2 linked regions of the Drosophila melanogaster genome follow. The protein of the gene in region 1 interacts with the protein of each later gene in a pairwise test. Each region holds a gene or a part of one and is shown in the gene's direction. Other genes may lie near its edges.

Region 1 (8,043 bases):
GTTGCACCATTGAGGCTCACCCTTCTACGCTAAATTGCAGATGCGATGCACCTCCATACCGCACGTTCGAGGGCCTTCGCAACCATGTTCGCAGCGAGCATAAACTTCTGTACTGTGACCTATGCGTCGAGACCCTCAATATCTTCACCTTCGAACGGAGGTGCTACACTCAGGCGGAGCTGCAGCTACACAACACCAAGGGCGATCCGGACAATCGGTCGCATCGCGGTCATCCGTTGTGCGAATACTGCAATAAACGCTATGTGGACCGTGATGAGTTGTTCCGTCATTTGCGCCGCGAGCACTACTTCTGCCACTTTTGCGACGCCGATGGTTGCAATGAGTTCTACAATGACTATGCGGATCTGGCGGAACATTTCCGGGCGGAGCACTTTCTCTGCGAGGAGGGTAAGTGCGCCACCGAGCAGTTTGTCGGCGCATTCCGCAACGAAATCGAGTACAAGGCGCACGTGGCCAACGTGCACGGCAAGTCGCTCAACAAGCAGCAGGCCAAGCAGACGCGCACCTTGCAGGTGGAGATCACTTTGGGGCCTCGTGGCCGTAGTGGGCAGACGGAGCAGGGCATAACCAGCGTGAGAACCAGGTGAGTGAGCGGCCATCCAATTTGAAGAAGGCACTCTTAGAATGGTAAACCTTACAGGAATGACGAGCACAACGACTACCAGAACGATTTGCCTTCGATCACCCAGCGCCATGTGAGCATTGATGCTGGCAACGAGGAACAGTTTCCCACATTGAGAGGCGCTTCCACAGCTCCCAGCGTATCCTTGGTGAGACCGCCACCGCCCTCGATGCGCAATCTTAGTGGAACTTCTGGTCTTGCTCGGACCAAAGAAAACTTCCCGGCTCTGGGAGGAGGAAATGGAGGTGGTGTTACTGGGCCCACTAGCAGCAGCATTGCCGCCCGGGCTGCTCAATCGCAGCACCCCGTGGCAGCTGTCTTTAAGAAACCCACAAGCGCGGCAGGTTCTGGCAGTCGAAGTGGGCCTCCCGGTAACGGAATGCTCCTGCATGTGTCAAATCGATCAGCAGCCGTGCCCAAAAAGGCAGCCACGCCGCAGGTAGACTTTCCTGCATTACCGGGTAAGGGGAACAAGAAGAATCTGCGCAACCTGGAGGAGGATATGCTGCCTAGCGGATCGCCAGTGCCGATGGCGAACATCTCCGCTAAGCATCGGTCTCTAGCCGATGACTACGTGTCAGTGGCTAGCCCGAGCACCTTTCAAAAGCTTCAAATGGTACAAAAGGAGGAGGACGAGGCCAAAGCGCGCCAGGAGGCTTTGAAGAAGAGTGCTCCCAAACTCACTGCGGCGGAATTCCCTAGCCTCGGACCGAGTGCCAGCGCCAGCTCAAGCAGGACGACTGCTCCAAAGCCCAGCAGTGGATCTCCTTCATTGAACTGGTCGAAACCAGCTAATGAGAAGAAGCAGCGTGAGCTGGAGAATCGCAAGGCCAAAGTGGCGCCGGCCCCGGTTCTGCCGAGTCCAACATCGAAACCTGCTCCCAAGGCAAGCAACAACAATGTTCAAGAGCAGCAGGCAAATAAAAAGGATAAAAAGCAGAAGGATAAAAAGAGCAACCAGGAGAATCAGCCTAAGACGGCCAAACCGAAGGAGAGAAATAATAACAACGAACAAAAAACCAATGGGGCTCCGTCTACGCCAATACGTGCTCCTCCCGGCTTAAAACCTGGCGGACCGCTAAAGCCACCACCAGGATTCGTGTCCAACGTGACTGTTAACTCGGTGGCCAAGCTGCCCAACAATCTCACGTTCACCAATTCGCTGGGCGAGTCGTATGACATTGTACCCAGCCCCTATACGTACACCGATCCACCAGATACCGAGGTCAGGAATCAGGTAAGCTAACGTCGTTTGCCAATTAGTTAGAAAACATTAACTTAAAAAGCATTTGTCTTGCGTCCAGAAATTGGTTGATGAGGTTATGTCCCTGCTCAAGACCCCAGAGGCGTTGAACGAATTCCGCTTGCTTTCGTCTAAGTTCCGCGACGGATCCTGTTCTGGCCAAGCCTATTACGAGCACTGCCAGTGCGCCATGTTGAGCTCATTTTACAACCTGTTCCCGGAGCTGCTGGCCATGCTGCCGGACATAAGTAAGCAACAGGTAAGACCCGTTTGCAAAACCACATAATAGTAAATAAAGAGTAACTCCATTATTTGCGCCATTTCCAGGAACTTTACCTAGTGCACAAACAACACCTGAACAGCTTGCCGCCCGCCGAGCGCAAATCCGTGCCCGCGCTTGAAGTTTGCAAGGTGTGCAAACAGATCCTCATCACCGCCGACTTAAAGAGCCACCAGCAGGCGCATGAGCTGACCAAAAACTTCCCCGTACTCGGAAGCTCAGCCTCTAACACGCACCGCAATTGAGGTGGTCGGATTGTAGGACAACAAAAGCTTTATCCCTGTATATTTTCTATGTACATATATACCGTGTCAACCATCTAGGAACCATGTCCCCAGATCATGTTGTGAGTGGAAACCCGAAAAAGAACTAGCCGAACCCATCAGTCCATGTAGCGCGACCCACGAAGCCATCTGTTCAATGTGACTTAGTCCGGACAGAAGCTTATCTTGGATGCGTTTCTAATATTTACGAGTGAGCTTGTGTCTAGCAAATGCCCGCAACCTAATAAAGTTCAAATCAATCACAATTATTAGTCGTAATCACCTGGTATGTTTGCCTAACCTGTCGCCCTATCTAATGTCCACATATGGTGGTCGCAAATTGGTTATCACCAAATGGAAATTGGTTGTAGTTGTTGGGTCGTATGGAGCAGATTTATTATCGGACATATGGAGCTCTTCTGCTCTTATCTACGTGGTTTGCTAGCTGGGGAGCGATGCTTGGTAGTTGAGTTTTCTGATTTGAGGAAAAGTAGAGCTTTTGTCGAATATGAAATTCGAGAAAAGCTCATTCTCCATTTTTCTACATAGAATTATTATGAAGGTAGAAATCTATAAAGGCGCGCAGACTCGCGTTAGTACATTTTTAAATAAATCAAATTTAACTAACACTGTTTTGTATTAAGTTTTTATTACGTAACACATAAATGTCTGAATCCATATTAATTACTGGTTATAATGTTACTATAATTATTTATATGAAAATGCATTACTGAAGATTATTTTTTTTGGATAGACCTACGGTCACACTAAAGTCGCAAACAACAATAACAATGGACCGGCGAGAGGATGCTCTGCTACAGGTAATGTTATTAATTACCATATATGAATGGAGAAACTGGGGTAATTACTTTATGGAACCCTGTACGACAGGCCCTCCAAACGAACGCCAGCGAGACAGAGCGCTGGGAAGCCTTCAAGCGCGATAATGAGAGCACCATCCGGAACTTGGACAAGTTCGCAAAGAATCTCAGCGTGGAGGTTATGGTGCCCATTGGACGGAAGGCGCTGATGCCCGGCGAGCTGATCCACACCAACGAGCTTCTGGTGGGTCATTACGAGGGCTACTTCTCCGCCTGCTCCTCCCACAAGGCCAAGGAGATCTGCCAGTACCGCCTGAAGCTGGCCGAGGAGCAGCTGAAGAAGCTGGCCGTGGAGAACGATCTGTGGCAGTAAGTGTATCAGTAAATAGAAGTAGGGAAGAGTAATGTTTACGCTCCTCCAACAGGAAAAAACTCCACACTCCATTTGCGGAGGGGGCGGTTCCCAGTGGCGACCAAGTAGAAATTGTGGAGGATTTCAACGAGGAGTCTCACAACAAGTGGTTGGCGGAGCACAGAAAGCGAATGCGACAGCAAAAGCAGAAGGAGCGCCTCGAACGGGAGGCGGAACCTGTGAAGAAAGATAATGAAGTGCTGCGGAAGCTAGAAGAGCGAGAAATGATGGAGGAACTTGGTCTAGATCCAGATAATATCGACGAGGATCAGCTGCACGATATGCTGAATCAAGAACCTCTGAAATCCACCAACGAAAGTAGTCCTAAATCCTTAACCCAGGAAGAGGAGGATGAGCTGTGGAAGAAGCTGGAAGCCGAGGAGCAGAACGAAGCCGATGAGCTCAGCTCAGAAGCAGAAGAAAGCCTTAAAACAACGGATAACCTAGTGCGCCAGCTCATGTCCGGAGAAACAGAAACTCCATCTTCCAAAAAACGCACTGCAGGAACCAATAGAAACGTGGAAATACAGGATCCCATATCGGAAGATGATGGTGATGATGATGATGAGGGTGACCAGGAGGAAGAGGTGCGAACCATACGGGAGCAGATGTCGCTGCTACCCAACGAAGATCGTGAGCCGTTCCTCAGAGCTCAACTGCATGTACTTAAAGCAAAAATGAGGAAGATACAAAAGGTCAACTTTATAAGCGATGAGCTGATTCACTTGATGAATGTGGTGGTCATGCTAGAGGACGACCTACAGGACTTGGTATTTGAGCAGGAACTGGAGGCCAGCGAGGAAGAGGAGGAGGTTGTCGAAAACAATCATCTTCCAGATGAGCCAAGCAAAGAGCTTTCGACTGTATCTGAATCCAGCACAAATAAACGTCGCATTTCGTTTGCCCTCGACGACGAAAAACTTGAATTCAGAAGGGAGGAGACCGTTGCCGAAATGTTGCCCAATGCGAAAAAGAACTCGAGGGATATCATCAAGCTAAATGCACCTCTTAAACCGGCAGGAGATCCACAACCCGCATCCATTAAAACAAAACGTCAAACAACCCAGGATATCTTGCAAAAAGTAGAACGAAACATTGAGTTTGTCAAGGAAAACCAGAGTGTCCAGGACTTCGATTTACTCAATCGAATTATGGAAGAGTCTACGGGACTCATAAACACTTTACACATAAGTTTCACACATTCCGGTGCCATACCTTCGCCCAGTAGTGATCAAAGCGATGGCATACCTGGAAAGCCCTCTGATTTCTATGTGAGGTATGAGAAGGACCGGGCGCGGCCTAATGATTCGTTTCCTATCTATGTGAACGGCTTTGAAGGCGAGGAGCACGTTAAAGTTCCCATAATGAGCGAAGCTGCACGTGGATCAGCCTATGAAGATCCCAGAAGTCAGGTAAGATCATGTTAGTTCGATCAGATCATAAGCTAACGTCCTGGCCTTGCAGTTCTCCAAGCCCAATTCTTCGGAAATATGTTTCACACATTCCGGCTCCATAACTCCGACCAGTAATGATCAAAGTGATGATATACCTGGAAATCCATTTGATTTCTATGAGAAGTATGAGAAGGACCGAGCGAAGTTCTCCAAGTCCAATTCCTCGGAGGGCGACGCTACTGACCCTGAATCAGCGACCAAATCGATCCTACGAAACAAATCTGCTGTGGACCTGGAGCCGCATAATGTCAACCAGCAGCCCAAGAAGGGCAGGAAGGTCCGGAATCAAAAGAAGAAGGAGCGCACCCTAGACGATGACCTGCGCGACATGAGCGCCTACCAAAAGGTCATGCATGATCTTGTGGAGAAGGAGCCGACTGCACCGGAGCCTCTGCCACCGGGCAAGTTCATCGACTCGCATGCGCCAAAGAAGCGGGTTAGCCGCTTCAAGGAGCAGCGAGCCCTTAACAAAACGTAGCGAAGAGTAAAACTTCAGCTGGATATTACTAGTATATTTGTTCAAGTTTAATGTGAATTTGTATTACAAACACAACGCAAACAATAAACAACTACTGGTGTGGTGTACATTCGTTTTAAAATTAAACACTAGGTACTAGTCCGCTGAAACGGAATTTATTTTTAAAACATTTACATTTACAGTAGGCTTCAATTTACATTAGATCAGAATGAGAGTTTTTGATTCAAGAATGTACGCGATTGAAGGACCTGGCCGCCCGCACGTGTGCGCTATCTTACAGGCTATTCTAAAGTACATATTAACAGCTAATACATACAGTACGAACCCTAAGCATAAGTGTAGTTGGACGCTCTACTCAAGGACACAGCCCATTCCATTGTGTTCAATCATGGTCTACCGAGAATCAAATATGTCTTGAGTGTCTGGCCAGCAGGATGCAGGGATGCCTCCAACGCGGGGTCTCATGGCCCTGTCTGGTGTTCACAGATGCTACAGAATTTCTACATGTCAAAGTCCTCCAGGCCGAGGAACTCCCTTTCTAGAGCGGCGCCCATCATGTTCCATTCGCCGTCGTCCTCGTCCTCCGGTTCCTTCTCGCTGTTGGACTCGGATCCAAGCTCCAGGTCGGAAGGCAGGTCTTCCCCTGGAACATTGATGCAAATATTAAAAGGTTAACACAAGTTTTGTGCGGACGGGCTACCTCGCCTAAACTTGGCGCTGGGCATCTCATCGTCATCGTCCTCCTTCTCGTTATTGTCATCGGCCTCCTCGTTCGAGCTAATGTCCACCTCCACGAGGTTTGGCGCTCCAATCATTATATCATCGCTTCGCGTGAAAAAGTCGTGAGCTCTGTTGGAATTATCATCTTCGCGCTTTCTCTTCAACAGCTTCTTGTCCATTGGTGGATTTTCTTGAGTTATTAAAGACGTATTCGATTAAACGTGGATACAGACACATGGATTAATAAGTAAAATACCTACCAAAATTTACAGGACCCTCGTCGCTGGACGAGTCTGACTCGAAGAATGTTTCGTAGTCCTTATTCATAGACTCGATATCTGCGTTGGTGAAGACCAGCAGCGGATTCAGCGTTTCGCGGAAGTTGCCGCTCTGCTCCTCCTGCTGCTTGCTGCTCGAGGGTGAGATCTCCGAACGCTCGCTGTAGTTAACCACGTGCTCGGGACTATGGCAATGGGCGGGTGGCTGGCGACCCTTGTTGCGTACCTTGCGGTCCAGTGGAAAGAGCTTCTCCTCCACGTGCTCCCAGCGCTCGGCGCAGGTCCACAACCAATTCGCATTGACCACTTTAATGGCAGGCTCTTTTTTGGCGGCGTTAACCTTGTAGGTGCCTGCGTTGACCGCCACTAGATGCGTTATCTCCTTGTCAATATTGGGCTTCACTTCGGCGCCCAGGCTCTTGGCTATGAAATACGCCCGCGACTGCTCGAGCTTCATCTGCGTGGGCACCAGGCCGGAGAACACCAGGTTCTTGCCGCGCAGCACTTCGCTCCGAATCTTCGGAACGATAACCTTTAGATCGGGTATTTCCGTGGTTTCGTCGTAAATAGAGTAGAATCGCTTGTGAATGTTACGAAGTATGACCTCTAGATACAGCAGGTAATCGTCGGGGTCTTCAATCTCTATCTGCTTTTGCCCCTCGAGCGGTGCTCGTAAGCTGGGCGTCTTAGACGTGGTGGCCACATCAGCGTCAGCAGACGGGCGCTTCTCATCCGGCGAAGTGGTGGATGAGGCTACAACCTCATTCTTTTCTGCCGGTGTGGGGGGCACCTCGGCTTTTGTGCTCTCCTTGGAATTATCATCAATAACTACTACGTCTTCGCCATCGCTGGCTGCTTTTTCAGCATCTGGTGAGCCAGATGAGCTGTCGTCTATGACCACAATATCCTCAGCATTAGTCTTGCCATTCAATTTGTCTCTCGGCTCTTTGGGTGCTTCTGTAGCGCTTGAGGCGTTGGAAACCTCTGGATCCTTGGCATCGCCCTCTATTTCGAACACGTCTACTGACTCCTCGTTTACATCGTCATCTTTGCTTGTGCTTGTGACGGTATTATCACCCTTATCGGTGTCTTCTGGTTTGACTTCGCTGCTGGATTCCGTCTTATCTTTGTCCCCATGCTTCTCGGTAATCTCTGCAACAAATGGAAATATCGTTAGAAACATTCAAGTCAGCTTGCTGGAACACCCAACCCACCTTTAAAGTCAACGCCTTCGCCATCCAGTTCATGCTTAGACAAACCCGGCGGGGCATTGATGTCACCAGTGTGTTGAAAGAAGTGGTAGGGCTTAACCTGAATCAAATTTGAAGCCATGTTCCACACATCCTCGCGATCGTCAATGATGCACACCATGGAATCGCCATTCGGAAACAGAGCCCTGTAATATACAATTTGTAGATTATTGTTTAACACGTTTAACAAGTGAAAATCCA
Region 2 (4,488 bases), on another chromosome or scaffold:
ATTCAATATTTCATTATTTTCTTTGGGAATGAGAAACACATATTGATAAAGCCAATTGGAAATTCGTTAAAGAAGCCAATATGTACATAAACTAGATCCTTTGTGCTGCCATCACTTGCCCCCTCTGGTCGAAAAGTGAACGAAGAACTGTCGTGGCGAACCTCGTGAATAAATAGTGTGTACTCGTAATTTACTTCCATAGGTTGCATTGATAGGCGTATGAATAAATAATAATAATAAATGTACTAGTATTTAGCCCATAATTGTTTGCAGCTATACTTATTTGGTGTTGTGGCAATGCATAATTTATGCACAATGCGGATACTTATTGATGTTGCTGTACCATGGGGCGTATGCGCGACGCAGCGAGCACCGAACCGCAAACCGAAATCGTTCTTGGCTTGCCTGTGACTGTATTATATATGTAGGGCACACATCAATGATTCACGCAAATTATCGCAATTAAGCGCAATATATTTAATCACAAACATCACACATACATAAATACAAACGAATACTTGTATTAATCATCGAAACGAATTAATTGCAGCAGTTGGCATTTATGCCAGGATCATAGGGTCAAACAACATACAAAACTGTAAGCAACGCCAGCAATTCAATTAAAATGAGATTTTTCACCCTGGCTGCATGTGAATCCATCTGAATATCTGTATTAGGTTAGTTAACAAAACACAAATGAAAAATCGGAAAAACAAAATCAAAAAACGAAATGTTGTTCGTGTATGCATAGCTACATATATACATATATACCACTCGAAAAAAAAAAACGCAAAATAAAAGTAAAATGCAGCAGAAGCAATGCGTGCACTCGAATAGAACGACACGCATTTCCATAAAAATAAACCGGAAATAAAAGAAAAATTCTACAAAAATACATTTTGTTTTTCATTCCTATTTTGGGCTGGTTGTGTGCAATTTATAAGCGTGTGAATACATTAAAACAGATTCAACTTTTTGAGGTATTCTACCAGTCATGAACGTAATTTTGTTAGGTCAGAATTTAATGAAATTAAATATGTAATTAATTTCGCAATATCAAATAACAGTCTTACCATGTATTCTAACCATATACTATCTTTTATGCTCAAGCGATCAAAACCTTTGGATACTTTAGTTTTTATAAGTACTTGCATGTAAATGGAATGAAGACTAAGTTCCGGAATGTCGACCTCAGCTTAGCTATACCAGTAGTACAAACACACGCGAGTCCTTATACAATCGCAGAGTCTGGGGAACATAAAAAACGTTAAGTGGTCGTAAATCAAAATTGTTCAAGAATGGGAAAGTTCGCAAAGTTCCTCTTGCCTTTACTACTTTGCGACAACACGGAGTCCTTTTGCCAATTCGGTCTTATTGTTCTCTTCCCTGGTATTTATTTTCAGATACTCTTAGGCCAAAAAAAAGGAACTCCCAAAGGATCCGGAAATTGGCGACGAGAAGCAGCGTCCTTGCTGTGGGCAACTGCCAATCCAATTTCGTGCATTTGCAGTCCATTGAGTTTCGCTTAAATTTTAATGAAACTAAGCGCCCACCATACAAATAGGAAGCGACACCACCAAGTTTTAATATTCTTGGTTTTTTTTTTAAATTTTTTTATTTTTTTGCTTTTTGTTTAAAAGGTTCTGTTTTGATTGCTTCTGCTTGGCTGTGGACCCCAATCCGCTGGGCTTTTGTTCAATTTGTACAGTTTTCGAAGTCTTAATAGAGTCACTAATTGTTCTGCACAGACATGGTGGTTGGTGGATGAAGCTTGGCTCTTTCAGAAGTCCCACGAGAATGCACGAGTATTGTCTGCGAAAAATGCTTAGAATGGAAGTTATGGGTTAGAATGTGGCATTAATAAGGAAGCCACCTCATTTACCGGTTAAATTAGACTGCAAAATAAAATTTAATTTGTTTATTTAATTCGCTATAATCGAAAATGGTTGTGGTTTTTCGGTCTGCAATGCTAGTTGATTTATTTTAACTCTAATATTTAGATGAAATATTTGCAGCAGCTCTAAGAAGTAAAGTCAAGGGCTCGTAACTTTTGGACATCATCATAACTGCGTTAACGGTTACATTGGCCATTAAAAGTAATTGCCCAATTTCACGGCGTAAACAGCCACGACAATCCATCCACTGGCAGTTGGGAGGCTGTTAAAAGAGAATGGACGTCCCCCAGGCGAAAATTAAGAACTGACCGTTAAGGAGACGAGCACGGCCTGGCATCGCATTCTCATTAACACGCCAGTCCGGTTTCAATTTCCTGTTTCATTTTTCTGTTCATTATAAATGGCTCTCAACATGGCCGGCCAGTCAGTTGAGCCGCCAACTCCGGACCGCAGAAGCAAAAAGCCATAAAGAATGTGCCACGACAACTGCGACAAGTTGATGGACAAAATAATGCCTGATGACATTTATAATGAGCGGAATTTTTTGTTGATTTTCGCCCCTGTTGTTAGTGTTGCAGTTGATAAGTGGAAACTCGCTTCATGTGACCGAAATTTGCGCTACATAGCAGCATAAAATGTGTGCTCTAAATATACCCCAACACCCAACATTCTCAGTCGTTTTATTAAGTATTAATATTAGCATTAGTAGAAGCTTAAATCGTAGATAAAGTATCTGATCCGAATGGAACGCTTCCTTTACAAGGTCAAAGGTGAAGGTTTATTTAAAATGAAATGATAATACTGAATCTGCTTTTTGTACATGAAGAGTTCTCCCTAGATAGATATGATTAATTAGATATATTCGTTTTTTCACGGTAGCTCAACACGTTAAAAATCGAGTTCACTAATTTTAACGAAATTTATATGGCTCAATAGATTTTTTTATGTATTTTTGATGTTTGATCCTTACACCATTTGAATCTGTGATGGGCACAAATGATGAGTCCCAGTCATCTTTCTTCTCTTCTTATCTGCCGTATTCATAAGAAGATGTCGTTCTTACCGCCTTATTGTCTGTGTACCCATTATGGTTTAAATTATATATATTATATATATATATATATATACAGATATATACAGATTCTAGAGACATAGACGCAGCGCTATTTTTTTGACCCATATAGCCACGCCCAAACTTTTGTCAAATTTTTCCCTCATATTATTATTTTTTTTACCGATATCACAAAACATATTACAATTTTTCGTTCACAGTCCCAGCTGAGTAACGGTTATCTAATAGTCTCGTTTTCTTATTATCAACTGAGCAAGTCTCCGACTTGCGAGTAATTTGCATACGAAATTTACATATCTGCAGTCCCCACCCACAACGCCATGAACCATCCTATTCCGGCGTATTGATGTATCGCAACCAAAAATGCAGCACAGCATGGGTGTCGAAGGCAGCAACAAAGGGTGAAACAGAATGGACGGTGACCAACTGACAAGTGACACTTTTCCAATTGAAATTCCCCCTCACCCAGCAACTGCACAACTCCACTGGAAAAACCCGACAAGCAGTGTGCATACATATACGTACATACAATACATACATATGTACATTCAAAGTAGTCCACGATGGTCATGTCAGCCGAGATGTCATAAATTTGCACGGGCACAAAGATCGAATATTCCAAATTGAGCTCTGGCGTTTTGTATTTTGTTTTTTTGAAATTTTCAAATACTGCCGGCTAAGGAAGCACAATGGATGGCTGCCACAACGACATCTTGGCGCCCCTCATCCTGGCCATTATGGTGGCCAATGGACACCCGCTCACCCTGGACGAGATCGTCGATGAACTGACGGCGGTGATCAATTCGCAAACCGAGCTCGCCATTGCGCATGAAAATATTGGAGACGGAAAACATAGCCACAAGTCGTATAAGCCGAGACGAAGGCACTAAGGATCTTAACATGCGTTATGTGCCAAATTTAAAATGCAATAACTTATTCGAGATTTGAGTGAATTTAATCTCTTGAACTATAATTTATAATAAACTGATCGTGTCGGCGGCGACACTTATTTCCGTCCGTGAGTGAAATAGTTATTTAATAAATTTCGAAACAAATGTGCTTAAAAGTGATTAAATACACATTGTACATTATTTCAAGACGGACATATGAAAACTATGCACATGTATGTTGTTTTAAGCTCAAATATCATTAGGGGAAAAGTAAATATTCATAACTGAAAAGAAAATACTTGCTACAGATTGACAATTTATCATTTATTTTAAAGCTACGAGTATTTTTTCATCCTGTTCATTGCCCTCAAGCATCTCAAATTACTGGCTGTAGCAAAGCAACTCTGCATACATTTTTCTGCCTTGATGGGATGTACATATGTATGTATGTACGTACATATATTTTCGTAGGTGGTGGTGCGCGAAGCAGCAGCACGTGTGCAAAATCTACGGACAGAGCGAGTTAAAAGTTTTTCAGCGTCGCGAAAAATTGTTTATGTTTCGCCTTAAAAGGAGCAGGGAAAAATTTCGAATATGTAAAGATGTGTGTGGATTGCTGGAGAAACTACGA

The links. The genes of interacting proteins can lie anywhere in the genome.
Region 2: the proteins of uri (region 1) and CG12521 interact in a two-hybrid assay, tested with the Drosophila melanogaster proteins (one large-scale study listed by BioGRID).

What each region holds. Positions count from the first base shown.
Region 1 is NT_033778.4:24,562,366-24,570,408, forward strand, and holds uri (unconventional prefoldin RPB5 interactor), read left to right. Parts: upstream 1-3,188; 5' UTR 3,189-3,220; coding exon 3,221-3,250; intron 3,251-3,320; coding exon 3,321-3,619; intron 3,620-3,675; coding exon 3,676-5,074; intron 5,075-5,126; coding exon 5,127-5,594; 3' UTR 5,595-5,717; downstream 5,718-8,043. Other genes in the region: CG11414 (uncharacterized protein), read left to right, coding at 41-604, 662-1,880, 1,948-2,145, 2,214-2,411; Fcp1 (TFIIF-interacting CTD phosphatase), read right to left, coding at 6,095-6,237, 6,295-6,504, 6,575-7,744, 7,807-7,988. UniProt on the Drosophila melanogaster protein: Inhibits the activity of serine/threonine-protein phosphatases flw/PP1beta9C and Pp1-87B. Required for germ line cell viability and differentiation, normal transcriptional activity and maintenance of DNA integrity.
Region 2 is NT_037436.4:11,846,883-11,851,370, reverse strand, and holds CG12521 (uncharacterized protein), read left to right. Parts: upstream 1-3,567; 5' UTR 3,568-3,656; coding exon 3,657-3,857; 3' UTR 3,858-3,988; downstream 3,989-4,488.